2 separate regions of the Mus musculus genome follow, and region 2 is reported to be linked to region 1. The links are microRNA targets in miRTarBase. Many come from high-throughput screens and were not tested one by one. Region 1 holds a microRNA gene; the other region holds the end of a gene's coding sequence. Distances are between the middles of the regions.
What was found. Region 1 holds the annotated microRNA mmu-miR-873a-5p (GCAGGAACUUGUGAGUCUCCU, at 7,401-7,421, opposite strand). A microRNA usually pairs through its seed, bases 2 to 8, with sites in the 3' UTR of a target mRNA and lowers its output. Matches are read on the target gene's strand: a 7mer-m8 pairs with bases 2 to 8, a 7mer-A1 pairs with bases 2 to 7 and ends in A, and an 8mer does both.

Region 2: miRTarBase lists Ndufaf4 as a target of mmu-miR-873a-5p. Seed matches in the 3' UTR shown: 7mer-m8 at 7,048-7,054 and 7mer-m8 at 7,138-7,144.

Annotation. Positions count from the first base shown.
Region 1 is chr4:36,661,156-36,677,225 of GRCm38, forward strand. Mir873a (microRNA 873a) reads right to left here and starts at 7,431; the gene lies at 7,355-7,431. All of the region lies in intron 2 of Lingo2 (leucine rich repeat and Ig domain containing 2), which reads right to left. It overlaps Mir873b (microRNA 873b), which reads left to right and starts at 7,355; the gene lies at 7,355-7,431.
Region 2 is chr4:24,895,006-24,911,075 of GRCm38, forward strand. It overlaps Ndufaf4 (NADH:ubiquinone oxidoreductase complex assembly factor 4), which reads left to right and starts at 3,078. Exons shown (of 3, transcript NM_026742.4): 1 at 3,078-3,297; 2 at 3,568-3,671; 3 at 6,689-9,996. The coding sequence starts at 3,162. The coding sequence ends at 6,970. Gm46848 (a long non-coding RNA gene) reads right to left here and starts at 3,117. Exons shown (of 3, transcript XR_001784261.2): 1 at 1,685-3,117.

The DNA of each region.
Region 1 (16,070 bases):
GTTGTTGTCAGCTCTATTAGTTTTAATTGACTAGCCTTTTTAAATGTTCACCCTGACTGAGAAACATTATAATGGAATTTCACATCAACAGAATCAAGCACTGAGCATATTTAGGGGTAGCTGATGTCAACAAAACCACAGTGAACATATATGGGTTAGATGTTTATTACTGGATGCAAATCTTTAGAAAAATAAACAGATCAGACAGATACATCTAATGTTTGCTGAGTACACTCTGGTTCAGTCAGTATTTCCCTGTGTTCCTTATATTTAAAAAATCCTTGGTGACAAGAATGAAATATTGCAGTCTCTATGAAAATTAAACAAATGACTATAATTGAAACAGCCATATTATATGGCTCTCATATCTCTAATCTCAGAACTTAGGAGGCTAAGGTAGCACCCAGCTATGAGCTAGACTCTATTCGCGTCTATATAGTAAGGTTCAAGCCACCTTGGGAGATATAATAAAGATATTTCAACAGTAACTCAATAAATTAAAATAGATTATTTTTGCTCCACTATTTTATGGGTTCTCAAACATTTCATCCTAACCATTAATGTATAATTCCATTCCCAGCTTTGGTCTTCTCTTATTATCCCATGCCTGACAGTGGTACATATTCAGGATCTCATGCCAATAATAATAATAATAATAATAATAATAATAATAATAAATAGCTTACCTTTGCTGTATCCTATGGCTGATCATCAGTGACCTATAAATTATTTTTGTCACTTAATTCATGTACATATCTGAAATATCTTTGCATTAGTTATATTTCTTTCTTAAGGGAGTTTAGAGGTCTGGTGGGGTTGGGGGTGAGAGGGTGGGGACATCCTAGAGAAAACAGGGGGTCAGGGAAGAGGTGTGGGATCTGAAACAGTTTGAGGGTAGACTTGGAGGGGAATAAACTCTGGAGTATAAAAAATAGGATTAAACAAAAATTTTAATAAGTGAAAAAAAAAACCCTATCTCTAAACATCTTCTGAAACACTGTAATATTCTTGCAGTTGATTACTCCATTCGTACATGTCTATTTCTTTTTTATTTATTTGTTTATTTATTTTTATTAGATATTTTCTTTATGTACATTTCAAATGCTATCCCGAAAGTTCCCTATACCCAACCCCCGTCCTGCTCCCCTACCCACCCACTCCTGCTTCTTGGCCCTGGCGTTCCCCTGTACTGGGGCATATAAAGTTTGCAATACCAAGGGGCCTCTCTTCCCAGTGATGGCCGACTAGGCCATCTTCTGCTACATATGCAGCTAGAGACACGAGCTCTGGGGTTACTGGTTAGTTCATATTGTAGTTCCACCTATAGGGTTGCAGACCCCTTTAGCTCCTTGAGTACTTTCTCTAGCTCCTCCACTGGGAGCCCTGTGTTCCATCCAATAGCTGACTGTGAGCATCCACTTCTGTGTTTGCCAGGCACTGGCATAGCCTCATATGAGACAGCTATAACAGGGTCCCTTCGGCAAAATCTTTCTGGCATATGCAATAGTGTCTGGGTTTGGTGGCTGATTTTTTCTAAGCTGCTGCCCGCATTGTAGTGACCTAAGAAAAAGAACTATATAAACCTAAGCCTGGGTATGAATTGTCCTCATCTCCCTTAAAGGCAGTCTGATAGCATCTCACACACCACGTTACCCCACCATTTGCAGCAAATTGTACATATTCCATTTGTTAATTATTTCTCATATAAGGGAATAAAATCTCAGAGAGAAAATTATGCTGTTTCCTCAGTGTTCTTAATGGATACAGGCATGCCTATAAAAAATATGGGGTACCTGATGAGAATGGATTAAAAAATTACAAAAATAAAATACTATTTTGTCTTTTTTTTTTGTCTCAGGTTACTTTGTTTAAAAGTATTTCTCCTTTTGAAGACTCTCAGAACGTTTCCTTATAAGATAGAGTGTGTGGAGGGCAGATGGCTCAGTATGCATAAACATACATATGAGGCTTTTGGGTCTTATTCTCAGAACTCAACTAAAGCTGTACATGGTTACATGGTACCATATGTTTGTAATCTAATGCTATAATAGCCTGAGGCTGTCCATTGAACTTCATATGCAAAGTGAGGCTCACACATGTACCAATGCAAAAATATGTATGCACAGATATTATATACAAATAAGTAAAGTAATTTTAAAAGGGAAAATGGTAGATTGTGTCCAGCATATACTATTATAATACTATGCTTAACGAATCTGAGAAATTAATTATAAGGGTAATTAGCCAGCTACATCACAGCTGTTGCCAAAATTTGATCAGAAAAATATTCTGATAGGCATGAAATAGTGATTATCAGGTGATCAATTTATTCTCAGTTTTGCTACTATTGGTACATTATTATGAGGCATTGCATAATTGATTCTAAAGTGTGTTAAATATTTTAAAAAGTGACTTAAAAAGAGAAAATATTTAGGACTATTTAAAGGATGATTACAGATGTTCAGCTATCTGCCTAGCTATCTGACTTTAAATGCAATCAACATTTAATTTGGAAATTTTAAAAGTAGACAATTTCCAAATTATAAAATTGCTTTGAAAGTGACACACTATCAAGTTGGTATTTAGAACTTAAAATGCATTTTGCAAAAGAGCAATGTGAAAAACAAGATAAATATTAATATGTAGAGCAAATGGCACCACTGGTGTCAAGAAGTTGTCAGCAATCAAATATAAAATTCACCCAATGTAGCTGTATTTGAAGTAGTATGTACAATAGTAGAGGCTATTATCAATTCTGGAGTTATTAAAAAATTCACTGTGAGACATGCTATCATGGATTCATAGCTATGTAAACTTGTGCTGGTTTTTAAGGAGGGAGGATAATTGCCCCAAGTTTCCCAGGAAGTAACACTATTAAAGAGGGTAGAAGCAGCATATACCAGCTGATATGGGGCCCCCAGCACATATACAGTAGAGGACTGCCAGGTCTGGACTCAGACAGAGAAGATGCACCTAACTCTCAAGGAACTTGAGGCCTCAGGGAGTAGGGAGGTCAGTGGGCTGGAAAGGGTGGGGACATCATCTTGGAGATTGAGGGGGGGCAATGTGGACCAGTCTGAGGGTGGACCTACAGGGAGATATAAAGTCATGACTGTAAAAAAAATCTTAAAGAATTAAATAAAAATAAAAATAAATAAAAATAGGATACTGGTAGATCAGGCAACTCAAGCAGTCTGTAAGGACTGGGGTCACTGTTCATTGTTAGCAACTAGACTCTCCAAATAAGTTCTAGTTAAACATCAACATAAACATAAGCATGCTATTGGATTGAGGAATCTAGAAGGTAAGGGCAAAGAACAGCAGAAAATTCATCAGGAAAATGATTAAGCTGGAAAACTAACAGTAATAATTCTAGATTCATTTAAAGATAGTCTTGTCAGAGTATGTGATTAGGTTGGTAAATAGAGGCTGAAAGAAGGGAATCTAGATAAAACTGTACTTTGAAATAAAACAGGAATCTTTTTATTTTGGATATTAATATAGTCTTTTTTAGAAAGAATGATTGGAAGAGCCAATTAATTCAGAGCAAAGTGAGAATCCTTGTGTTGATGTGCTTAATTAAAGACAGGACTTCTTTGCAGCTGAGGACAAAGACTATGGAAACCTTAATTAGATTCCCAGTTTCAGGAGGAGAACATGCCCCTGGATTTTTGGCATAAGATAGATAGTGCTCAAATAACTATTTTATTCCAATTTTAAAACCATTGTGGAAGAGTTGGGAAAAGGTTTGAAGGCTCAGACTTAGATGGGAACGCCACAGGAAGACCTACAGAGTCAAAAAAAAAAAAAAAAAAAAAAAAAAAAACCTGGACCCCAGGGAGCTCTCAGAATCTGAGCTACCAAGCAGAGAGCATACACAGGCTGGAACAAGGTCTCCCAGCACATATGTAGCAGACTGGCAGCTCAGTCTTCATGGCTGCCCAGATTGGCCTCAGTGGGAGAGGATGCACCTCACTTGGAAGAGACTTGATCTGCCAGTGTCTGGGAATACCCAAGTGGTCACACACTCTCAGAGTAAAAGCGTAGGGTGGGTAAAGGGGATGGACTTGGTGAAGGAGGGACCTCGAGGGGAGCAGCATTTGGGATGTAATCAAATAAATAAATAATTTTTTAAAAATGAATAAAAACCAGTGTTTTATTGTTTGCTTTGTTTTTGTTTGTGATTTTTAATGGGAAATATTTATGTTTCGTCTCTAAATAATTAGCTACAACTGGTCACATAATAATAGAATCATTTTCAAAGCCTAAAAGTGGTTCGTAAAGATGTGCATTTCTGGATAGACTTATATTGGTAAAACCATTCCATATAAACCCATTGGTTTTCTCATGCTCTCTTGGCTATTATAAAGACTTCCTCTCTGACATGTTTCTTTTCTCAGCTCTGGTACACACTTCCAAGATTAAGTCTTATAAGATAAGAGTCTGTTTACTGATATTCCCACTATTCCCACATCAGATATTGTAGTTCCTAAGTGACAAATATTTTTAATTGTATTATTATCCCATTCTCTTTTTTTCATATTACTAGAACTTGTTTTTCTAAAGTCAATGTTGTCCAAAAGTCATGTTTTCTAATAGAGTATGTTTTGATGGACTAGAGAAGAGTAAGAGCATGCCAATTCATTAGGAAAATGTGATCTATGATTTTGGATGCTGTGATGCTGTGATGCCCATATTTATTGGAGCTCTTAAAATTGCTTGTTTTAAAAATCTCATTTGAGTGAGAGTCACAGGGGAAACAATAGGTTTAGGAAAACAGAAGAACAGCATCAAAAGAAAGACTCACATAAATGCTGCTTTATATTGTCTTAATTTCATTTTAATTTTAATAATTGTAAAATTGATTCTATAACTCATTTTGCTTGAGCACAGTGTTTGTGTGTATGTGCATTGGGTATGTCTGCATATTTGCCTGTTTGACCACTTGTGTGTGTGCACAGGTGAGCATGAATATTGAGAGCTGAAATGAAGCTATACACCTTCCTTCAGTATTTTCCTCTTTATTTCCTATCCTGCTGAACTTGGAAGTCCCTGTCAATGACCCAAAGACCTAGCTAGCTGACCATGTGATATTCTGTCTCTAGATGCCAGCTATAGGAATTGCCAGTAGGTTACCACATCTTCCAAGTTTCTATGTATGTTTTGGGGATCTAAATTAATCTTAATACTTGCACACAAAACAATTTACCCACCAAGCCATCACCCAATATGCTGATTTTTAGTTATTAAGTAATACAAAACCACAGCCAACATGTTGTATGTTTCTAATAGACCACAGAGAGTGCCACAGATATAAGAAATATAGAACAAAGCAAAAACTTGTTTAAAAATATTGAAAGGTGATATGAAATTTAGAAATGTATACCAAATCATACTAGAATGACTAACATTGTAAAAAAATTAGATCATGTTTCAATGAATTTTGATCAATTGTAATAAGATTCATTTTGCTTTGATAATATTCAAATTTATAAAAAGATTAGTTTAAATAAAATGATACTGATTACCCAGATCCATCAGCTAATATATTATGGGCACTTTTTTGCTGTTTCCCTTTCTTTCCTCTTAAGACTGATGGTTTAGTAATTAGTAAAAATCACACACATAAAAAAGGAATGCACAATATCATGATATTCCTACACATCCCAAGGCACTCAAATTTTGGTGTAGCAAATAAAGAAAGTGGTAACTACCCAAAGGAGACAAATATCAGTAGCCATGGAAAAATTAGACAGTTTAATAACATAAGTAGTTATGATTACAATCAAGGTATAATCTAGAGTCAGAGAAAATTAATGATTTGTTATTATGAGAGAAGATGAGATATACCCATGAGATTTTACTTAGGTGAATTGAAACAAATGAAATTCATTACATTTAAGTAGAGCACAGAAAGAAACAAATTAGGGGGAAAGTTAAATATTATACAATTGAAAGTTAATTTAAGATAATTATAGATAAGTGAATTATATATATATATATATATATATATATATATATATATATATATATATATATATATATATAAATCAGGATCTCACACATATGATGTGTACCTTATAGTGAAAAGAGCACAAAGTTATACAGATAATTTTCTGTTATCTTTTCTAATCCAGAAGATCCCTGAACAGTTGAAATAAATAGACATATATATTTAATATTATTTTCTATGTCTATGAAATAAGGGTGAATATTTTCTCTGTGCTTATCATAGACAAGGGTTTGATTAATTTATTAGATAAGACAATTTTCTTGTCACTGGATGATGAAACTATAAGCCTTTGGTGGTAGCATTTGTCCACCCTTAGTTTCCAGAGTTAAAACCAACTGAAGGAAGCCTCAAAACTGAGTTCCATGTTGGATTTTAACTGAAGTCAATAATAAAAATGATTTTGCTTTTTTAAAGTTCACAGTATAACCATAAAAATATAAATAATAAGTATTTTGAAAGCAAATTTTAGAATGATGAATAAACAGCAAGGGGGCCTTTGCCACTCACTATTACAGAATATTTATATAAATGTATACTTTTCATAAGTTTTAGGAAGAAATCTGAAAAGCTTTATAAATGACCTTGTTATATTAAGTAGTAAAACTCTTCCAAAATGTGTAGCATAATTCCTACATATACTCTTTCCTCAATATTTGCATTTACCACCATGCAAAAAAAAGAATTATGACCCTACAAATGTAGATTAACTTTGTGCAGTTTTAGGAAAGTCTTCATCAAGAAGTTTAAGAATTGGTTTGCACTATAAATAGTGGCCCTAAATACATATGTTGAATATTCCTGAAATAAAACGGCAATTACGTGATTTGGTATTACACATGTACATAAACATAAGAAATGATATTTTAGAAAAACATGTTTATATGTCTATAAAGTTTTGAATGAACATAATTAGAGAAACTGGAGAACACTAATATATGTAGACATTAATATTATTCTTTTCCTACTAGTTCTACTAAACCTTTCATATAAATATTGGCATTCACATTACTGAATTATTCATGAAAAGTAAATAAAAAAAGAAATAATTCAAATTGGCTCTGATAAAATGCTCAGTTTACAAACATATTATTAGGACAGAGTTTAAGAAGAAATGCCTTTCCTTGACCAAATTCAAATCCAGAAAAAATGATCTAATAAAAATGGTATCCACCGTGAGTTGTGAAGGTAATTTTTTTTCTAGGTAAAAGTCCTCTTGTTTTCAAAAATAATTTTCTGTGAGTAACTCAAATATAAAGTTGGGTTCCAGAGCAACTTAAACAGTGGCAAACACCAGTCACAGAGTGCTGTCCAAGGCAAGGTGGTAGAAACCAGTAGGAAGATTTGTGGGTGTTCCCGGGAACTTGTCAGTCTCCTGTCTATTTTCAATAGGAGACTCACAAGTTCCTGCAAATGCACACAAACTGATTTTAAGCTGGTGCTCGTTGTTCCTAAGGAGATGCTGACATTTCCATCAATTCAAAGGAGTACTGTAATCAGTTCCTGCCGTAGTGTCTGTCATGTCTTAGCCGGGTTTAGCGCATCATTGTAATCAAGTACAGTGAAAATCCAGGACACTAGTCACTCCTGTTCCTCTGGTCAACAGATCTTAGCTCAGGAACTTCTATGCTCGGCCTTATTGCTGTCTTGAGGATACAGTGATGAATACTTTCTTGACTTTATGGCACTGCTGTTGGCCATCTGTCCTGATTATTTTCAATAATGCCTGAGCCGATCCATCAGTCTTCATTGTTCAGTGAGGCAGTGCATTTCAGGACAATGTGGTGGTTTTGACTTCATGGAGAAATGGAAATAACTCAGGGATAGAAACTTAGAGATCTGAATTCTAGTTCCCCGACTCCCCACAGACAAATTCCAGCAAAATTGCCATGATGAATCTTTTACAGTTTGGGGGTTTCTGTTTTCTTATTCCTAGAGGTACTATTTGGGCTATTCTACTTTACTTTTTATTATTTGTATAAATATATTTTGCAAAATAATTACTGGAAACACTCAGGAATAAATCATACATACACAAATATATTGCTAGAAATTTTGTCTTCTCTTGCAAGTCCAGAAAACAAATAAAATGCATTTGGCTTAACAATCTTTATTAACTTGAAATACATAATTACTAGCATCTCACATTATTAGCTAAAATGTAAGTTATTATTATGATATAAAAAGTATGTTGCCTTTTTACTGTCTTCTAATAGTGAACTATCTTCCTACGGTTTAATTTCCCTATCAGATCTTAGACTGTAGATGTATTATTAAGATAACAGACCTATTGTTGACCAAGACTTTATGACAAATATCCAGGTGAAGATTTGCTCAGGACCACATGTCACTGTGGACAGTTTTTCTAGAAAATTGAAGTTATATGAAATTATACTTCCACTGGTTAGTTCTTTCCATAAAAATATCACACAGTCATGTGTAAAAGTGCCCCCATCGATATATACACAGATTCTAATAGCATACCATGTTGTACATGTTCAATGTGGTAAAATGTTATGAATGAATCTGTTTGACACAAAATACATATTAGCAGGATAAATCTATGTTGCTATGTCCATGACATAATAAGACACAGTCTGTCAATGCTTTAACAAAGAATATTACCTTTAAATCCCTTTTATAGAGTGTATAGAATTAATTACAACATTTCAGTAGGATTTTTGGTTTTGTTGTTATTGTTGTTGTTGCTTTGTTATGATTTGCTTTCTAGTGTACGCATGGCATGCCACTTCCATTCTGTATCAAGGGACTGAGAATGTCTTCACATAAATCAGACACATTATTCAAAGCAGAAACACACTTATATCAGGGACAGGAACTGCCATGGGATTCCACTCATAACTAGATGTGGTAGAAAGCAACAGTGAAGACATGTTAGCAAGGTGATGTTGAAGTGGTTATCCAGAGAAGGAACGGGCCAGATGAAAATATGATATGGTAGAGAGTCTTGAAAAGAGAGAGGGGAGGGGAAGAGAGAGGAAAGAAGGACGTGAGTGAGTGAAAGAGGGAGGGAGGAAGGGAGAAGAGAAAAAGAGAGAGAGAGAGGGAGAGAAAGAGAGGGAGGGAGAGAGAGAGAGAGAGAGAGAGAGAGAGAGAGAGAGAGAGAGAGAGAGAGAGAGAGAGAGAGAATTCCAAAGGTTGTTATTACAATGAGAAATTGAGAAACTTTGCAGTTTTCCCTCCCTCTACTCCTTTCAATTCTTTCTACCTCCACTTCCATCTGGATCCACTCCCTTTATGTCTTTCATTTGAAAAGAAGAGGTTTATTTTTTTTAATTTTTACTGAGTATTTATTTCATTTACATTTCCAATGCTATCCCAAAAGTCCCCCACACGCTCCCCCACCCCTCCCCCACCCACCCACTCCCACTTATTGGCCCTGGAGTTCCCCTGTACTGAGGCATATAAAGTTTGCGCGACCAACGGGCCTCACTTTCCAATGATGGCCAACTAGGCCATCGATAACAAGACATCACAAAGTAAATAAGATAAAATAAAAAAAAAAAAAAACTTCGTATCAAAATTGGACACAGAAAGCCAACAGAAGGAAAAGATGACAAGAGCAGGCACAAATATCAGAGAGTCACTCATTCACACATACAAGATTTTCATAAAAATACTAACCTGAAAGCTATAACACATATTTGAAGGCCTTGAGAAGACACATAGAGGCCTTTTGCTTTTTCCTTCAGTCTCTGTGAACTCATATGAGTTTTGCTCCTGTGAGTTAGAGGGTCTTGTTATCCTGATGTCCTTTATCCTCTCTGGCTATGCTCTTAACTGCAGGATTCTCTGAGCCTTAAGGGAAGGGATTTGATGGAGACATCCTTTTTAGAACTGTGAGTTTCATCTCTACAGGACAGTAGATATCTTTCTTGCTTTCTTCTCTGAGTAGGAGTTAGAATTAACTCCACTTAATCACTCCTTTGATACATGGCTATAGCAAAATGAGTGTATCTCACTGTGCATGGCACTATCCATGTTTTGTACACAAAAAGTTGAGGCAATACTAAGTTCTGAGTCTTTATAGGTTATGTCATTAAATCCTGCTTCCAAAAATTAAAAGTGGGAAGGGTTAGAGAAGCAGCTTGTCAGTTAAAGGCATTTGCTTCAGCATGAGGATGAGGATTTAAAGCTCAGCATTCCTGTAACAAGCCAAAGATCCAGAACAGGCCTGTAACCCCAGCTCCACAGTGGGCCAGGAAGACAGTTGTGCTTATTAGCTTCCAGTTTCATAACAGTTTCATAAGCCCAGCTTCAGGGAAAGACTCTGGCTAAAAGGAATAATCAAATTGTAGACACAGGACACTTATAGGACACCTATATTCTTTTCCAGCCTCCCTGCTGTATACAAATGCATGGAAGCATGTCAATTTATATAATTTTATACCCATAGAGATATATAAAAATATTTTTAATTTTCTGAGGAACTGCCAGACTGATTTCCAGAGTGGTTGTACAGCTTGCAATACCTCTCCTGGGAATATATCCAGAAGATGTCCCAAATGGTAAGAAGGACACATGCTCCACTATGTTCATAGCAGCCTTATTTATAATAGCCAGAAGCTGGAAAGAACCCAGATGCCCCACAACAGAGGAATGGATACAGAAAATGTGGTACATTTACACAATGGAGTATTACTCAGCTATTAAAAAGATTGAATTTATGAAATTCCTAGGCAAATGGATGTACTGGAGGGCATCATCCTGAGTGAGGTAACCCAATAACAAAGGAACTCACACAATATGTACTCACTGATAAGTGGATATTAGCCCAGAAACTTAGGATACCCAAGATATAAGATACAATTTGCTAAACGCATGAAACTCAAGAAGAACGAAGATCAAAGTGTGGACACTTTGCCCCTTCTTAGAATTGGAAACAAAACACCCATGGAAGGAGTTACAGAGACAAAGTTTGGAGCTGTGACAAAAGGATGGACCATCTAGAGACCGCCATATCCAGGCATCCATCCTATAATCAGTTTCCAAACACTGACACCATTGCACACACTAGCAAGATTTTGCTGAAAGGACCCAGATAGAGCTGTCTCCTGTGAGACTATGTCGGGGCCTAGCAAACACAGAAGTGGATGCTCACAGTCAGCTATTGGATGGATCACAGGGTCCCCAATGGAGGAGCTAGAGAAAGTACCCAAGGAGCTAAAGGGATCTGCAACCCTATAGGTGGAACAACATTATGAACTAACCAGTACCCCGGAGCTCTTGACTCTAGCTGCATATGTATCAAAAGATGGCCTAGTTGGCCATCACTGGAAAGAGAGGCCCACTGGACTTGCAAACTTTATATGCCCCAGTACAGGGGAATGCCAGGGCCAAAAAGTGGGAGTGGGTGGGTAGGGGGTTGGGGCGGGGGGAGGGTATGGGCGACTTTTGGGATAGCATTGGAAATGTAAATGAGGAAAATACCTAATAAAATATTTAAAAATATTTTTAAAATAAAAAGATAAATACCAACATATAAAAATTATCTATTATAAAGCTTATTTGAAACTAAATTAAAATTCCAATTTAAGTTTTAAGATTGCTTAAAACAACCTATACAGATTAATAGTAGATCAAAACTTTCTCCAAGGAATAATCATGGTGGAGGCAGAGGGAATGCACAATTTTGTCAATTAATTTCTGTACATTCTTCTCCATCTAATATGCCATCTCTGATGTTGAAGAGTATATCAGATCTATAGTTTATATAAATGATAAATTAGAAAGTCAGAGAATCTTTATAGAAATGTTTTTCACAGAAGTAAATTAAATGCAAAATCTGTATGATACAATCTTTACCCTTATAGTTTTTGCATTAAAAGTTTGGCTTAGGGCCCTTGGCAGCCTGCTATCTCAGGGGGACTTCCATTCTTTGCCTCTCCCTCCACCTTCATCAGAAGTGAGACTTCAGAACCAAACCTAAAGGAACATTTTGTCCTCTGAGAGGCTCCACTCAGAGGCTGACTCAGACAGATGTAGACACCCACAGCCAGATGTGGATGGAGCTTGGGGACTCTTGTGGAAGACTAGAAGGAAGGATTAAGGGCCCCAATGAGGATAGGAATTCCATAGGAAGACTGACAGAGTCAACTCTACCTGGACCCTTGTGGCTCTCAGATCTGAACCACCAACCAAAAATCATACACAAAGACTGGACCCAGGCCTCCCTGCTCATATATAGCATAAGTGCAGCTTGCTCTTCTGGTGGGTCCCAAACTACTGAAAGTAGGGCTGTCCCAAAGGCTGTGTCCTGTAAGTAGGACATGTTCTTCTAGCTGGCCTGCCTTGTCTGGCCTCAGTGAGACCAGAAGCACCAATCCTTGCAGAGAATTGAAGTTCTAGGTTGGGGTGATACCAGGGGGACCTCCTCACCCACTCAGAGGAGAAGGGGAGAAAAGATCAGGGAAGGATTCTTCGAGGTGTGACCCGGTCAATTAACATGATATAAAGTGGATAAGTAAAATCTGAAATAAAATAAAATAAAAGAAAATTAGCATAGGACTGGGCATGATAGTGTATAACTTTAATTATAGCACCCAAGAAGTACAGTCAGGTGGATCTCTGTGAGTTCCAGGCCAGCCTTGTCTATAAAATGAGTTCCAAGACAGCCAGGGCTGTTATACAGAGAAACCCTGTCTCAAAAACAAAACAAATCAAAACAAGAAAAGAAAACAAAAATGTTTAGTTTGTGAGTAAAATGCACATAACAGGTTCACATGTGTGAAAGAATGTTTAAGAGAAAAATTAAATATAAAATAATGGTATAATCCAAGAAGGGATCTACAGTCGGAGTGAGTTGGTCATCCATTAGGTACTCTGTATGTGCATTCAATGTGTTTAAATTGAGTTTCATTTCTGTATTTTCAAATAATGTTACGAATGAAGCTGTGACTGTCTCATACTGGTTTGCAGCATTATTGAGGCTAAAAAATGGAAGACAGTATAAATTGGATGTCAGAGCTCTGGTGCTAAATTTATACATTAATGCTGAAACCTTTAATATGGAAATGAATTCCTAAGAAAAATCTCTGCAGAATATCATTCAAATTATACCTAACTGACTACAATTATCAAATAGTGATGCTATCATCACCGTCAGAAACTGTGGCATCTCAAGACTGACTGGGTTTTTCTTTTCCCCTAGGAAACTATTTCAGAGTGAACAAGAAATGTTATTTACAATGATGACACATCACACTATTTCTGTATTTCTTAATAAGGGACATCACTTTTGACACCATTATCACTGTTTGACAATTAACTTTTTGCAATTTTTCATTACAGAAATGTATTATCTAGAGAATACTCATAGAATATGTTAGCCCATAGTGAGGAAAATAACTAGAAATGATACAATAATGTACGTATTTCTTAGGCACAAGTCAACTGCTCACAGATAATACAAATGCTGTAAAGAATTTGTAGAAGCTGGATGTATCATTTTGAAGTTTTATAGTCTAAAATTCTTCCATTTTACCATGCTTTTTATGTAATTACTCCTTTTATTGATAAACATTTTATACGATTTTATACTAGTTTAAGAACATAATCTTGAAAAAACAAAAATAGATTTCAGGAAATATCAAACTTATATTTTACTTAAATTTTTCTTTACATTATTAACTTACATGATCTATAAGAATGGGAGGAATGGTTGAAATAAATCTGAGTTCAAAAAGTATTCTTTATGCTTAACTATAATCACACATCTGTCAAAATATTTTTATTGGATACCAGGAAAAGAGTCATATTCTTTTTTAATATTTATTTTTATTGTTTTATTTATTGTTTTGGTCTGTGTGTGTGTGTGTGTGTGTGTGTGTGTGTGTGCGTGTTTGAGAGGTGGGCAGAAGAGGGTATCAGATATCCTGGAGCTGGTATTACAGGTAGGTATCAGCAGATTCAGCCATATTGGACGAGCAGCAAGCACTCTCACTCCCTAAGCCATGTTTCCAGCTGTAGAGTAATAGTAGCCTGAGTTCAAAGAAGTGAGGTTGTAAATCATTGTTCCACACTTTCCACAATAACTGGGGCTATTCAAAAAAGTTATGTAGGCAGCCTATGAATATACTGTTGGCGTATTAATTTACTTATTTACAGAGAATATCTATAAAAAAATCTTTAATATTAGTTTGTAACTACTAAAACTTTCAACTTTCCTTGTCTATACTGAACACCTATATACAAAAGCAACACATTAAGGATATAGAACCATGTGTCACTATTAATAATCATTTTTAAAACCAAAAATCTATATGTATAGCTTAGAATTAGCAGAAAACTAATATGTAAAAAAAAAAAGACATGTCAAAGAAAAATATGCCATTCCTCAGCATATAGAAAAGCAGCAATAATGGTGTCCCTAAAATCATTTTTAGATTAGTTTAAATGTGGAAATAACATTATGATTGTGCAACAGGGACAGGTATAATTAAAACTCAACATCACATATTTAGAAATTAAATGATTTTTGTGGAAGCTTCTTTGAGCAAAAAGAGTTTTAACCATTTATAACATCCAAACATTGGCTGCACTGACAGCAGGGCCTTATTTAAAATACTCAATGCACTCTGGAAGCATCTTTTATCTGGAGAAACCTTTTCTACTGTCAATCTTTAATAACAAAAACAATTTAGAAGCACACATGGTGAATGGGAAAATATTTCTTTATATCCCCTCTTCTCTACCCAATCCAACAGTCACTTTAAGAGTAAGCATATTTAGTATTAAGCATCTAGAATATTCCCCATTAGTTTGATAATTATTTTATATTGCAACATTAGTAGGGACATATTAACCACTGAATTCTGGAAATTATTTTTGATGCTTCTCAAGCATGAAGTTCACAGTGTCATAAAAATTGGTTTTGGTGGGTTGATATTACTCCATGTCATAAATTCACTATAGTATTTAATCACTCCTATATGCGTGTATATCTTATGTCTAACGGCTCCACATGCTGTAGTCCTACAATGAACATATGCAATGAACATATTTTACTGATTCTGCTTAGTTCTATAAACTGTTTATTTAATCAAAAGTCATAGGTTTTATTTTTTTATTATTTGTCTGTTTCTTTTTTAAATTGCTAGAAATTGACAAATTGACATAGTGCACTTCCATTTGAAGATAATTCTAGCAATCATTTGTCTGTCCCCTTGACAATATTGCATAGTTATTGGATAATTGAAATTTATTTGAACATTTGTAGGAGCAAAGAGTGTTTTATTACTTTCTCTTTTCTAATGCACAGCAAAATTATGTTCTATTGTTTCTCTATAAATTGTTTTTCATAATCTGCTTATTTTAATTACTTTTAATTTATTTTAGAAATAATTTTTGTCATTATTAAAAATATCAACACTGTCATATTCACTACAAATATTTGGTTCATACATTTCTTTAAGTTTTATGGATATAAAACTTCAGAATATAGACTTTTGGGATATAGACATGTTTAAGTCCATTGATTATCATGTGGTGAGGCTGAGTTTCTTTATTCTCAGAAATATCTCAACCCAATATCGCAAAAATGATAATTCTGATTTTGTTATATTTGTGTTAGATATATAATTTAATTAGATCTTATTTTTATCTATTAAAGGATTGTAATTTTGCCAGTGAATTTTGTTAAGAAATAAATATTTTCCTTGTGGGTATTGGAGTAATTCCTTATTTTGGACAATGAAGCTTATATTGTAATTTTTCTTTTTTTTAATTAAAATAAAATATATTTGTAATGTAAAATAAGCTATCAAATAATTAGAGATAAAGATGGATGGAATATCAGGTCATGTTAGTTCTGTATCCTTACACATACCATTTGAGGTTAGATATCAGTTTGAGACATTAAAAACTTAGAAATGACTGTCAGAGATTTATTTTAGAGGTTTCTGTACTTTTTAGAATTATCTATGTTCTAGTTAAATGTGCAACTTTTTGACATAAAGTATCAATACTATATACATTAATTTCTAATGTTAAGTGTTCATAAGGACAAAAAGAAAATAATAAATGAATAAGTTAACTGTTA
Region 2 (16,070 bases), 12 Mb from region 1:
GGTAACCTTGCCACAATAAGTATATTTGGTAAGCCCATTAATTTATGGCTCTTTTGTTCTGGCTTATGAAAAGTTTACATACCCACTCCCACACTAGATCATATCATTTAGGACAACCTGAATCTATATTCTCAAGCTATGGTCATTCATATTTGGCTCATAATATATTTCTTTTGAGCAGAGATCTGTGTTTCTTTTCACTGTGATTTATAAGGTTCACAGTTCCTTAGTTTGAACACTAGATCTACAAAAAGACTAATGCCTTTTGTCTTGAAGTCTGGGTGCCTCTGATTCCAGTTGCAAGTTTCACAAACAAGTAACTCCATGTCACTATAAAACTAGCCAAACCTACAACCTCAGAAATAATGTGAATTGGGCTCTTACAAATCCATTGACTCCTGTACTGTAGTGCAGATTTTAGAGAGATTCTCCCTCAACATCAATATCCCACAAAGATATTTCTGAGACCCACGAACATCTGCAACTTGCTCACTATAACGCCTTTAGCGTATGTCTTGAACTTGAGTCACCTACTTCCTGAGTGTAAGTTCTAAAATGCCTTGTAGGACACTGAAGTGTGTTCTGTACAGGGAGGAGTGTGTAATGGTGAGTAGAGGCAGAGAGGAGAACTGAGGAGGGTAAGTATTGTGTGCCTGACACTTCTTCGGAAGACGTGAATAAATGTCTACTAACTGGAGCTAGGGAACCAATGAATGGATAAAGTATATAATTCCACCAGAGTCCAACTTGGGAAGCCAGTGAATTTTGGGGGGAGGGTTACTCACTGGAATACATTAGAGGAACGGGATGACTAGTAAGGAGCCATTTCACTAACCAGCCTGCTGCGATCTGGGTAACAGCTCACTGAGACAGCAATTCTGGAGCTCTTTGTCTGACGGGCAGGCAGCTCCTCACCTCTAATCCTCCTCTCCCTAGCACTATTCAGTGGCCTTCTTTAACATGTAGCCTTCAGCTTTCCCAGATTTGTAAGCTCTGTTGACTTCCTGAGTCTCATAAGCATCCCTCCTGCTTTAGGAGGGAAGGTTCAACCAGGAGGAAATTGCTACACAATGGTGAGGGAAGCTTGCAGGTTCTACCTGATGGTGACTATTACTGCTGCGAGTGCGAGGCAAAGGCAGATGGCATTCTAGACCCTTGTTATAATGCCTATTGATGTTCCAGCCTTCCCAGGTTCAACAACACCATCACATGGAAAGAGCATGCTAGTCAATGATTGAAACTGATCTTGGCATAAACACCCACTTTGTCCTGGCACCATTTGGGCATACAGCACGAAACAAAACAAAGGAAAATGTCTCTTCTCAAAAACTAGCATTTTACTGTTTTGGTGATATTTGGAGTTCATCACTATCATTCATTATCAGCTATCAACCTTACTTCAGTTTGGCTGAGAGAAAAGCAGACTTCTGACTTCCCTTGAGGGTCTGCCTTCAATCCTCAGGCAGAAGCCAGAAAGAAAATCTTAAGTTCAGACCTTCTGCTACATTGTATGTCTTGACAAGAAGAGCTGAAATTATGGATTTATGGTCCAGGATTTTGTTTCCATTCTGATTACCAAAGTAAGATAGCCAAAGGTGGGTTCTGCTGGAGCCTCTCTGCCTTGTTTTGGTCTTTAAGGGTCTGAGTAACCCCAGGCCAAGGCTAGATAAAACAATAGGCTCACCTGCCACTGTCTCTTCCAGTGTCAAATCCAAGCTTTCCTGCGTGTAGAAATTCACAGATCTTTAATTTTGTACTATCTGCTGTCCTGGACTCACTCGAAACTCTTGTGTAAGGTTACTTTCATGTAGCCCTAAGTTTGGTGGAATCACATGAAAATTTAAAATACTTTAGCAGGCAGTGAGTGGAATTGCTACTATAATTCTTAAAGCACAGAACAGACTTAATGAGGCCAAGGAACATTTCTTGATGTCCAGAGAAATTGGTTTTAAAAAAAAGGCACCCAGTTATGAACTTGTTTAAAAAGCTCTCAGATGGAAATCTTGGAGCAGACTGCCACCTTCAGGATAACTAACAAATTAACTCACTGAACACGGTTTTAGCTTCTACATAACCCATCTCCAGAGACAGGTTTCATAAGCAACAGTGAGAACTTTACCCCTCTAGTGTTTTCTCTATTATGAAACAGTTTAATTAGTAATAGTCCTTAAAAAAATGAAAACCCCTCCCCCTAATTTTTTTCTTTAAGTTGGTTAGACACAACTAATCTATTCACCTAACCAACCAGGCTAAAATCTTTAATAGATTTCACAACCACAGTCTGGGAAAAATATTAATTCGAAAACTTATTTTCTTGCTGGTGGGCTTTAAAAACTATGGGCCAATCACATTGAATACTTTCGGAAACGTAAAAGAAGGAAGAGACAAAGGGTGGGTGGAAGAGAAGGGGAAAGGAAGATAGAATGTGTACCGTAGATTTTTTTTTTCTTTTTCCAAATACAGCGTTAAGTTACACCAGGGTTTGCCAAGATTACAGAGACTCGAGAGGCAGTAGAGCTGAGAAATGGGGCTGAGAAGAGCACGGTGATTCAGCGCTAATGGAGGAGTATGTCAAGTTAGTACTACTTATGAGAGAAGGGGAAGGAAAGCCTAAAACTCATAGCACTAGGGACAAAGTGGCAGGAAAATGGTATGTCAAGATAGTGAAAGAGTTAAAACAAACAAACAAAACCAACACAAAATTGGCTCAGAAAGCTCCAGGCAAGGGACAGGAAAATAAGGGCTGTTAGAATGGAATTGCGGCTGAGAACAAATATTCTCAATTTCTCAAAAGCATGGGCAGGTAAATTCAGAACCTTGACCCTGCGCTCTGCCCTCTGAAGAGGTTGGAAGATCTCCGCTCCACACTGGCTACTCGGGATTTTGCAACCGTGGGATCACAGCAGCTCATCCTTAAAGACTCCGGAGTCGCCGGCCGGCGTCCCTGACAACGCCCAGATGTCTGCGCATGCGCCTGTGCGGAAGGGTGGGCGGGGCGGAGTCCAGGGTGCGTCCTCCCGGCCACCAGGGGGCGACGAGCGCGTCCTCGGCGTTTTACCGGTGCCTGGCCCCTGGTGTGCGCATGCTCCGTGCGTACAGAGGTCACCGGTGCCGGTGGCTTCTACACGTGCGTAGTGAACTAAGGGCATCATGATTTAGAGATGGGGGCTCGCGTGACCCGCGCCTTAAGGAACTTCAACGTGGAGAAGCGAGCGGAGCGAGAGATCAGCAAGAGGAAGCCCTCCATGGCACCCAAGCACCCTTCTACCCGCGACCTCCTGCAGGAGCACCGGAGTCGTGAGTGCAGTCCCTCCCAGGCCTCCGGTGACATTGAGGTCGTCCCCGCGCGGGCCCCGGGTGGTGGCGGCTGGAAGGAATCCCGGAGCCCAAGGCAGCCCGCGCTCTCTCCCGGCGTCTGCGCAGGCTGCACGCAGACTCTCGTCCAAGTGTTTGCCCCAAGATGTCCAGATGATTTTTTTTTTTAATATTGTACATGTTTACGAGTTTAGAGATTTTTTTCCTTAAAAAAAAAAAAAAAAGATACTATGGCTTATTTTCTTTCCTTAGAGTATCCAGAAATCGAAGAAGTTGTTTCTAAAAAAGATAACAAGCTGCTGTCATTGCTAAGAGATGTATATGTCGATTCCAAAGATCCGGTGCCTGCCTTGCCGGTAATGTATACGTTAATTAAGTTGGCAGTTTATTTTGGAGGTCTGAGAAAGTGATCAAGAAAAAGAGGGCAACGAGTGAAAGTGCAAAGTGTGTGTGTGTGTGTGTGTGTGTGTGTGTGTGTGTGTGTAGAGGGGAGCAGTCAGTGTAGAGCACAGACAGCTAGACACAGGCAGGCCTGGACCCCCTTCGATACTTAGGGTATACTTAGGGTATACTTAGGGTATACTTAGGGTATACCGAAAGACCTGTGAAGGGATTGATTGGATGGACCTGTGTGAATTGTTTATTGCAGAAGTTGTAGGGTTGGGTTACGGCATTTTTTAGTGGTTTTCTGAGTGACCAGTATGACTTTGAGAGCTATTTCATATTCTGTAAATTAAGATGCTCTTAATGACAACCTCAGTGTTTGGGGGTTTGGAGTGGGGGCACGTTCATAGTTTTGAGGATGTGTCCCAACAGGATATGTAATATTATATGTAAGTTAATATAGCATGCTGGAATGATGGGTATGTCTCCTGTGTCAGGTGTAAGTGTTGTGTGTAGTGATTAAAACAGTAATTACTCTCTGAGGCCCATGGTACGTTGCGGACCACAGACCATTCCGTGGATGAGCAGCTGTACAACTATAATGTAATTACGGGCTGGGGAAGATGAAAGGCTGCTTCTGAGGAAGTGACATTTAACCCTGGGCCTGGAGTGCAAATTGAAGTTGCAGCCTGGAAGGCAAAGAATTAGATTAAATGAAGAGGAAGTACCAGCCACAGCCCTCAAAGTTTTTTTTGTTTTTTGTTTTCATTACAAAACTTTTTTGTATTATCTAATACTGAGCAAAAGACTGCAATTACAGCTACTTCTATAATATTCATAATTTAATAGTGACAGTAGGATTTAGTTAGTACCAGATTTTCACACAATAAAGATACATTGATTGTTGGCCATAGTGTATTATTTTTAAGCTCAGCAATACTTGGAAGGAGGGTTTCCCATTTATGCTAAGTATGAGGTGCATGTGAGTGTGTGTGTGTGTGTGTGTGTGTGTGTGTGTGTGATTTTTGTGTAAAGATACTTATTTGATATTATACTTGGTATTTAGTCTGTTGAAGTGACCAGTTTAACCTCTTCAAATAGGTGCCAGTCACCTAACTATAATTTATTTACTAATTTTCTGACTTCTGTTTATAGACTTATTGGTTGTTTGGTTTTTGTTTCATCTTTTTCTTTTTCTTTTTCTTTTTCTTTTTCTTTTTCTTTTTCTTTTTTTTTTTTTTCCAAGATAGGGTTTCTCTGTGTAGCTCTGGCTGTCCTGGAACTCACTCTGTAGACCAGGTGTTTTTTGTTTCTTACCACTAGACCCATACTATCTCAATAAAGTGGTATGACACATCCTGGTGACTGTTATAACCTAAAAAAGCTTCATATCTTCTCAAATCACTTCCTTCTAAATGAACTTGGGAATCAGATTTTTAGTGTCTTTAGTAAGCCTTGTTTAGATTTGATGATAATTAGATTGTATTCACAGTTTAACTAAAGAGAGGTAAAGATCTTCTAATTTTTTTAGAAGGTCTTTGAGGAAGGAAGAAAGATGTTATTATTAAGTAGAAATTTTCTTCCCCTCATTTTAATGCACAGGAAAATAATTGATTTTTATTTTCTAGCTATTGACATAACTAGTTAACATATCTGCTAGGAAGTAGTTTTTCAGTTTTTTTGTTTTCTTAATATTTTATATTTATGTGGAATTTGTAAATTTTTTCTGCCTTTCCACTAAATGAAAAGAGGATGTTAAATTTTATTCATCTTGATGTCAAGTGGAAAAGCCAGATCTGTATGTATGGAGGGAAAGGCAGATGTACCTGGGTTTGGAAGATGAGAGACACTTTGAGATTTAGGAAGTGGAAGAGGAAAAGAGTGAGTGCCTGAGACTCAAGTGGGAACAAGAAGGTGGAGTGAGTGAGTGTGGGAGACTGCTTAGGTACGGTATGCAACAAGGGGAGACTGAAGGGGACTTGGGGTAATGGCTGCATCATGAAGAACATGCCAAGAAACTTTAGATTTATCAGAAGGGCTTTGGGGAGTCATTGAAAAAAAGGCGGGGGGCGGGGAGAGAAATACCTTGATATTGGCCTAGAAGTAGTATAGGCAGGAATAGCTGGAAATGAAGAGAAAGGGAATCCTTGGCACGGCTTAGGTAGTAAGCACAGAGACTGAGGTTAAGCTCAGGTGGGTACTCACGAGATCCACCTGCCTGTGGATGCTTATGCACAGACCGAGTCTCAAAATCTGTACGTAAGTGAATGTGTGTGCACCCTTGCACGTGCGTGCATGTGTGCATGCATGGGCTACCTTTTGCTGTGATAACACTGACCAGAAGCGTCTTACACATCTAGGTAATAGTTTATCAGTGAGGGAAGGCTGGAAGACAGTTCTCAAGTAAGCTGTTAACAGCGCCGTTAGAGTGCTGCTCATTCGAAACAGGTGTAATGCGTATCTAATCAGTTCTCATTCTTCTCATATACAAGTTGAGGTTTCTTTAACTTAGCTTCTTAGGACCTGATCTCATTTTGGAATATATGTATGTATATTATGAAGCATCTTTGTGGGAGGATCCAAATTTAATTATGAAGTTTGCTTTTATTTCATATACAACTCAAGCTTGAAGGCAGGTTGATGAGTCATTCTTAGTGTACCTACATTTTGACTGCTGATCATCACAGGAAGTTAGATGTGGCACTTTCTACTTGGGACATGATGGTGGAGTTCAGAAGTTTTGGATTTTAGAGCACTTTGGGTCTCACATTTTTGGGTCAGTAATGCTCAGTGGCTATAATTTCATGGTGTGCATGCAGTTGCAATTTTATAGAGGCTTTCTAGCGAGCTATAGTTAGGAAAAGAGTGGTACAGTGCAAAATCAAAGTTTGAGGAGGTATATATGTGTTTATTTGAAAAGAAATGGTTTAGACTTAAGAGTTGTGGAAGATGTAAATATTTTATCCTAAACCCTTTTCTTTGGTACTAGGTAAAAGTTGAACCACGACAAGAACCAAAGGAATTCAGACTGCCGATAGGAAATCACTTTGATAAGAATATCACGGACATTCCCAAAGGCAAGATTACTGTTGTAGAGGCATTGACCCTTCTCAATAACCATAAACTCTCTCCAGAAACATGGACTGCTGAGAAAATCGCTCAAGAGTACTATTTAGAACTGAAGGATGTAAATTCCCTTCTCAAATATTTTGTTACTTTTGAAGTCAAAATCTTACCTCCAGAAGACAGGAAAGCAATACAATCAAAATGAAGAAAATCACGAAACAACTTCCCCTGTATGTGTTCCCAAGCTCCGCGCCCTTGTTTTGCGTGTATTAAATTATACAAGTTCCTGTGAGTTGAGGGCCATAACGTTTGAAAGCTCTTTGACCTCCTCAGGATTGTTCATATAATTTTTTAAAAATTTATGTATGTGTAGTTCCTGGGTATATGTTAGCTGTATTGATCATGTGGCCCAAATGAGTCAATATTAAATTCCACTTTCTAGTTTAAGTTGGTTTGTTCTTTGTAGTAGACACTGAAAGCAAGAGTCCTCCTGACTCCTATAAGACTGGCATTGTGTTAGGGACAGATAATCAGCAGGGAAACACAGTGACTATATTTCCCAAGTGAAGAAAGAGAGAAAACTGAGTGAAAAGAAAGAAAAATACATATTACTACTCTAGAGATGAAAAATCCATGAGGATCTTTTTAATGTTTTAAATTTGTTTTAAATATTAAATAATTTTATAGAAGAATTAGTGGTATCTGACATGCTGGCTGTCTCTCTTTTGACAAATAGAAATAGGTAACTTGAAAAGGTTTCTAAGAGCGAGGCAATACTTAAAGATTATTTGAACAAATAGCTTCTTTAATTTAGAAGTGAGAGAAGTATGAAAGAACAGCTAAAAATAAGAGAATCCAATTTGATAACCAAACATTCATACCTGTTTTTATTTTAGGAGGAAAAATAACCAGTAGAAGTATAGAATAAATCCCTGAAGGGACCTAGAAAGTTACCAATTCATTCACTTAAGCTCTGGAATGTTACATTCCAGTAATAGAATCTCAGATAAGGTGAGATGAGTTTGGCTCATTCTGGCATGTTATACTTGTGGGTTCTTGCCCATATTGTTTGACCTCTCTGAAATTGAATTTCTATAAAAGTATACCTGCCTTATATAAATTCCAGGACAACAATGAAGATAAATGACAAAAGACCAGGCAAATACAAAGTCTTGTAGTTAAAATGGGTGTCTACAAAACACACAACAGAGTTACCTGTAGTTTATGATGCAAGGAAGCCAGAATTTAGGTTCTCGAAATCCTAGTAGTATTTTTACTTATTCTGTAAAATGAAATACATTTCAAAAGGACAGAATGGAGTTGGGGTAACTGGGCTCGTCCATATTCTTTCACGGGAACAGACAGACATACTTGCCTCGAGATTCCACGGGAAAAGATGTGGAAGATGAGAAGAATCCAGCGATGATGGAGGGAGGCAGATGGAACAGCAAAGATGGGAGGTGACTGGAGAGTTTGTCAGCTTCTTCATATCTAGTTCCAGTGAAGAAACTATCCCTACTTATATGTGATTCAATACAGAAGTTTAAGGGAACCTACTAATTCCAATCATTGCTGATTATGGTGGAAAGTGCCGTCAAAACCATCCTCCATTAATTCAAAATGAATATGTGAATCAGCAGTACTGACTCAGGTTTCCTGGGTGGCTAGCAGATGTAAATATGGTTTCTTAACTGGTATCACACAATAAAATCCTTCCATTTTGCACATTAGCCCACTTTTCTGGTTTTTTCTTTCATGTAGAACACCAATTGTAACGTCACACAAGGTGCATGAAATTTACATTTGGAAAAGCGGAGTTTAGATGTCGGTTCCTTAACTAGCTGTGTCTGACTTGTCTACAACTAAAGTGCAGTTTATATACTGGACACTAACCTAGGTGCCTTACATGTCTTAGCTTTGTTAGCATTGTGGTAACAAGCGTGAAGTTAAGAATGCTTTCCTGGGAAAGTTGCAGCCCGGGAAACTTCAGTAACTACAAAGATTAGTGGATACTGAAGAGTAAATAGAATATTTTGTACTGACTACTACACTGGATTGCCTGTATGGGAGTTGTAAGAATTATGTGAATTGATACACGGGTTACCTGAGCACAAAGGGCCAAAACTTCTCAAATGTCTGCTTCTGTAAGTCCTTTGTAGAGCTCTGGGCTAATAGATGACTAAACGCTCTCTGCTATGAGAGACTGGATAGCAAGATTAAAATCCCTGAATAAATGGATTCTAGATCAAAGATGCTCTAAAACTGACCAGTGACTGGTATTGGGGTCTCACATTTATTTTGAAAAGTGAGGAATGGGAAACTGAATTTGAAGGAATGGAATTGAATAAGGAGGAGAGGAGAAAAAAACTAGATTTGGCTTTTGTAAAAATGAGAGCTGAGAGAGCTGTTCATGAAGAAGCCTGCAGCAGAAGAGTGGGTGGTTTGGGTAAAGTTCTACTCTAAAGAGATAGGCTATCCAAACTTAGGCATACCAGCAAAACCAACCACTTAGTGTCAAGACACACATAGATACACTCAGGTAAGCTCACCCAACCACAAAGACTGTCTCAAAGCCATTTGATATAACATCTTAGCTTTACCTTTTACTTTTGGAGTGGGTTGGTGTTTGAGGTAATATCTTACTGTGTAGGCCAAGCTGTCCTCAAACTCTTTAACCCAGCTGCAGCACCCCTCCCCCCCCATCCCCCAGTGCTGTCCTTAGCTCCAGTATGTTATCATTTAGTGCCTCATCACTCTGAAAGAGCTGTGTGTTTGCTCAGGAATGAACATCCTTCTTTCCATATTTACTCAGTGCACTTAAACACTCATGATCTTTGATCTGAATCTCTATATGATAAATAGCTATTTAATACAGAGCTTTTTAGTGATTAATTCCAGAGACCCTGTCTCCCCCAATGGTTAGTTACTGGGTAGTGTTAACAATAAAGCTAGTCATGGGTTCAGCCTGATCATCTTCATTCACAGTTGCCATAACTGCCCAGAATAACACTGCTTTTCATTGCAATGATTGGCTTTTATTGGTAGAATTGGAATGTGTCTGTCTGATATAAGCTTGAGATAACCCAGGTACATTCTGGTTTGGATGAAGTCATTTTTGCTCTGACTACTTTATAAACTACTGTCATTCTAACTTATGGGAATTCACCAACTCCTGATGTCATCCAGGACTGCTTTTGTCAATCAGTCCCCAATAAACTGCACTGCAATCCTAGATCTGCCTGCCTACTTCTTAAACAAAAAGTGTGTGTGTGTGTGTGTGTGTGGACACATGCTAGAGCCTGTATGTGGAGGTAAGAGGACAAAAGGTGAGTTGATTCTCTCCTTCCACCATGTAGTCCCAGGTACTGAACTCATGTCAGGTATGGTGCCAGTGCAGAACCAGCAGAGCCATCTTCCTCATCCTGGGTTTTGTTTCTTGTTACATAATGCTATGGCACCTCATCCACCAAGACAGTTGTTACAAAACAGTCATTGAAGCAGTCGACAGCAAATGAGTAATGGAATCCTGAAGTGGTACCTGGATCCATGAGGGAAGGGAGGCTCATGTGTTAGATGCTCCATGAGTATGGCCACATCCTCAACTTGCTACAGTGGGGAAGGAAGGCTGACATCTTGCTATTGGCAGGGAGAGAGCTGTTGCTGTGAGCAGTTTGGGTGGCCACTGATGCCCATGTAGTTGTCGTAAAGAATGTAGTGATGTTAGCAAAACTTACAGCTTAGAAAAAGCTTTGTGTCTAATATATCAACCCTCTGCCCTGTCTCTTCTCGGGGTCTTTCCTGCCAGAAATAGTGGAAGATCAGAATGCTAAGCTAGAAACCCTGGCTTACTTGGCTCCACTGAGGGGTTTGGAAGAGCAAGAGAAAACAAGGTTGATCAGATTTGAGCAGTCATAATCAGAAGGGAATGTAAAGCATCTGGATCCTTGAAAGGCGTTAAGGAAGAACCCTTATACCTGTGGCACTTGCTGTTTTCACTGTCCATTAATTCAGTACAAGGAAGAGGTCCTGAATATTCAGGTGAAGAGCCTTCTGTGTTAGAAACCAGGACATTAGTACACTAGTGCAGGATTTCTAAGTGTTATAAACACTTTTAGCCAACTGCTTGGGGAGTTGAGTGCCTGGAGCTGAGACTGGGACGTGGGAGGGGATAGTGTATCTATGGCAGAGAAGTGAGCAGTGTTACTGTCCAGCCAAGCCCTTATCTGGTTGACCGTCGAATGCTTGCCATTTCCTGGGAAATCATTTTCTTACAGATCGGATCTCCTTAAATAGAGAGAGGCTTGCCTAAAGGAGACAGATCCACCAGGACAGTCGGCCCCTTCCCCATGGAAAAGCTCCAACAAAGCCTAAGGTATTCTGTGGGAAATGGGCACACAAAAGGCTCCTGTGGTTTGATGGCCTAGTAAATCAGATTTTTTTCTTTTAGTGCCCTGGAAGGGGGGAAACATACCAAATGCCTCTCAAGAACGGTACAGCTCCTTTCTCGTCTTCCTCAGCTCAGTTGGTGGATAAGGGTCCTTCTAATGTAATCAAGGCTATTGCTTACCTGAGAGAGAGGAAGTCTGGTCAGGACATAAAAGAGAAGAGACAAAAAAATACTAAAAAGATGAGGGCTGAGCCAAGAAAGCAGAGGCAGAATGGTTTGCTTGCAAACAAGTACCATCTTGGCAGTCCTGCGGAAGAAGGTCAAGCCCTCAACCAACTTTTCTTTCTGCTTCTTCGGGGAAGGTGAGGCATTTCCTTCCTACAGCATAACCAACTGCTGGAACGGTTAGCCCATAGTAAAGGCCGTAGGCAGCAATCGGTGGTCTCACATCAGACTCATTGTTTACTACTAGTCCTTCAAGAATAGGTCTAATAGATACACGTACTAAATACACTGATGTGGTGCCACTCAGAATGGTCTCTGGGGCCCTGTGCAGTAATTGATGGAATCTAGGAAGCAGTGCCCTCCCAGCTATGTTTTTGTTCAATCTCCCAGTCTCTAAAAGCATACAGAAGACAAACTCTCTATTAGGAAAGACATTACAGACCTCTATGGGGGGGAGTTTTTAACCCAAACTTCAGGCAGTAAAGGCAGTATTAATCAAGAAAAGTAGGACTCTGTTAGCCTCCCCACAATCAAGCAGCTAATAAATACCAGACAATATAAGTTTCTAGGTGACATGCTGCAATTATAGAGCCCATATAAGAATTATAAGGCATTCTGGATTCTGCCTGCCATCACTATAACAGTTCAGTATAGGTGGTAAAAAGGCAGGACAGAAATTTTAAAATGATGTTGACTGCAGGGAGCTGTGATGATGTTTCCTAGTCATGTTACTATACCTAATATGAACTAAAGTAGTAGAAATCAACAACAACAACAAAATCATGCTCATGCTTTTGTTAATGCTGTCTGAACTTAACTAATGCTCCTCTCAACATTGCCTCGCAAGCACGTACAGCGTCAGTTTGTCTTCTCTTGGGTAAGAATACAGTGGCCACCCTAGCTATTGCCTTAGGGATATTGACACCATCCAATTGTCAAGTCATATCATGATGGCTTTGGACTGCTCTGTTTTCATTACATATAGACGATACCATATTAACAGGAGAGGATTATTGGGGGACATGTTAGAATGATTACATTATCGCTTATGCACAAGGGGGACTGTCAACCCCTAGAGTCATGGCCCTGAACCATCTGTGAAGTCCTTACAGGTGCTCTGGTTGGATAAAACCTGTTTGCGTCCAGACACAGGGAGATGCAAAGGGCACACTTCCCCATTCCCCATACCATTAAACATGCACCGGCTTTTGAGGGGCTCTCGCTATTTGTGTGCTTTGCTTTCTAGTGTAATTTTCTGCCCATGTAACACTATCTGCAGATTAAGAAAGGGGCCACATAAGATTGGAATATTTCCCAGCAGAAAGCATTTGAAAAGACATGCTTCGGTAACTAGCATGTTGTTAAGAAAACACATTGTTAGTTTTTTTTTTTTAATCTTAAATGTTTCTGTTTCTTTTCTATTTATAATTTCAAACTTTTATAAAGTATACTAAGAATTTCATTAAAAAAAAAGATATACTTCAATGTGCAAATGCAGTTAAAAGTCACTAGATGGCATGAGTTGGACTCTGGCCTCAATAGCACAGACGAAAGTTCTGAAGTTTTGATCACTTTCTGGAAAGGAACTGAAACTAGATACAGTCTTTTTACAACAGCAGTTTCCAGCAGTGTGTGTGTGTGTGTGTGTGTGTGTGGCGGGGGTCTCTACAGCAGTCATAATGCAGACTGACCTGCCCGGCCTCAATCTTCTTTCCTGTAAACTCCTGCTATAAATGAGTTATATGAATGTTTACAGCAATGTGTATTACAGTAGTCTATTAATTTGCAAGTTGTACCCAAGGAGCTGAAGGGATCTGCAATCCTATAGGAGGAACAACAATTTGAACTACCCAGTACCCTCCAGAGCTTGTGTCTCTAGCTGCATATGTAGCAGAGGATGGCCTAGTTGGCCATTAATGGAAGGAGAGGCCCTTGGTCTTATGAAGATTATATGCCCCAGTACAGGGGAATGCCAGGGCCAGGAAGCGGGAGTGGGTGGGTTGGGGAAAAGCGGGGAGTATAGGAGACATTCAGAGAGGAAACTAGGAAAGCAGATAGCATTTGAAATGTAAATAAAGAAAATATCTAATAAAAAATTTTGCAAGTTGTGCTCCCTTTGAAAGTGCCAGCCCAGGGCTATGGTATAGCAAGTGCATGAAAGGGGAGCTGACAGACTTCAAACCGTTTGGTAGCAACATGGACTGGCAGAGGAAACTTGAGTATCTATCTGCAGCTGTAGCACAGTCTGCCATTTGTCCTGTCTGGTTTGAGGCAGGTGAATATCAGATCAGCTACCATGCAGAACTAATAGGTACTATGGCTGGTGATGGCTCATAAGCCAGGGACATTTATTGCTTGTGGAGGGCCTGAGAACTTACGCTTGAGGGTGGGACTGTGGCATATGGAACAACCATGACATAGTAGGAGACTTTTCTAGAAAAAGAGTGAGTTAACCTGCTGATGGTAGTTAAAGTCTTGAAATGTAAATGATATGGATACTCACATCATGTTGACGTGACTTCAGCTTATTTCACAATATATCCTCTTTAGGATCAGGCCCAAAAACATGGTGTATTATGGTTCTTTTTCTGCCCTGTATAACCAAGCAGATGAGCCAGTGAAGTGAAAGAGAAAAAACAAACAAACAAACAAACAAAACATTTTGAAACCTTAAAGCAACAAACACTGGTCCCATTAAGTAAACCTACTTTGGCGGGCTGTGTGGATGCTCTTGGAGAAGTATTAGTCAAATGGCTGTCACAGACTTACAAGTCAGACCTGTGACCTTGTGGTATTCCAGGGACAGTGCCAAAATCCCAAATGGGTTTAGGGCAATGTAGAAGAGGAGAGAGTTCATAAGCCAGATAGGAAGACGCTATGCATGGGTTTAGCTTTTTCTGGGTCCAGCCACCTCCAGTCTTGATGGCTATGATTGCCCTATGATCCTCCTGGGAGTGTTGCTGGCTGGTTTTCCATGTCACTTCACAGCACACTAAAGTCAAAAATCCTTTGAGTGTTATGGAGATTTGTGGCCTTGACCCTGTACCTAGAAAAGACTTGATTGTTGGAGGTTAGCTTAAGGTAAGTGCCTTTGCTGGGCAGTGGTGGCGCATGCCTTTAATCCCAGCACTTGGGAAGCAGAGGCAGGTGGAGGTCTGAGTTCAAGGCCAGCATGGTCTACAAAGTGAGTTCCAGGACATCCAGAGAAACCCTGTCTCGAAAAATAAACAAACAAACAAACAAACAAAAAGGTAAGTGCCTTCTGGCTTTGGTGATTAGGAAGAGCCTGCCCATTTTTCTTTTTTTTTTTTTTTAATTTTTAAATTTTAAACTCTGGATGGTGATTCTCTATTATGAAGGACATCATGCTCATATGGAGCATTTGGAGACAACTTTTTCTTAATGTTCACAATTTTCCAACAGCATATTAAGGCCCAATAAAATTGCAAACTTTGCAATCCTGAATATCTGTCTTTTTTCTTTTCCTTTTTCTTTTTCTTTTAGTTTTTTTCGAGAGAGTTTCTCTGTATAGCCCTGGCTGTCCTGAAACTCACTCTGTAGACCAGGCTGGCCTCTAACTCAGAAATCCGATTGCCTCTGCCTCCCAAGTGCTGGGATTAAAGCCGTGCGCCACCACCGCCCGGCTTATCTGCCATTTTTAAAAACTAGTTCTCATATACTAGGACCAAATTATTGTGGAACAAACTATGTCATGAATATAACAGAAGTATAGTAGAAGAACTCAAGTTTTAGAACAGAATCCCAAAAGTTCTGTCATTTTCAGTGCATTGATATTCTGAAATATGTATTAAGTAGGGACAAAGTTCTTCCTCTGCTTCCTGTGAGGATAAGAGGCACAGAGAAGGCAAGGCTGCTATCCTAGTTTGCTTCTCTGTTGCTGTGATAAAACACTGACCCAAATCAACGTGAGGAGGAAAGAGTTTATTACACATTCCAGATTGCAGTCTATTGTCAGGGGAAGGCAGGCCAAGAGCACAAGTGGCAAACTGGATGCAGGAATTGAGCAGGAAGCATCAAGGATGCTGCCTACTTGGTCACGTTCAGGCTCATGTTCAGCTCTCTTTCTTTTTCTTTTTCTTTTTAATAGTCCTTCCTCTTTTTTTTTTTTTTACTTTGCTTTCTTTCTTTCTTTTTTTTTTAATTAGAAATTTTCCTCGTTTACATTTTCAATGCTATCCCAAAGGTCCCCCATACCCACCCCCCCAATCCCCTACCCACCCACTCCCCCTTTTTGGCCCTGGCGTTCCGCTGTACTGGGGCATATAAAGTTTGCAAGTCCAATGGGCCTCTTTTTGCAGTGATGGCCTACTAGGCCATCTTTTGATACATATGCAGCTAAAGACAAGAGCTCCCGGGTACTGGTTAGTTCATATTGTTGTTCCACATATAGGGTTGCAGTTCCCTTTAGCTCCTTGGGTAATTTCTCTAGCTCCTCCATTGGGGGCCGTGTGACCCGTCCAATAGCTGACTGTGATCATCCACCTCTGTGTTTGCTAGGGCCCGGCATAGTCTCACAAGAGACAGCTATATCTGGGTCCTTTCAGCAAAATCTTGCTAGTGTATGCAATGGTGTCAGCATTTGGAAGCTGATTATGGGATGGATCCCTGCATATGGCAATCACTAGATGGTCCATCCTTTCGTCACAGCTCCAAATTTTGTCTCTGTAACTCC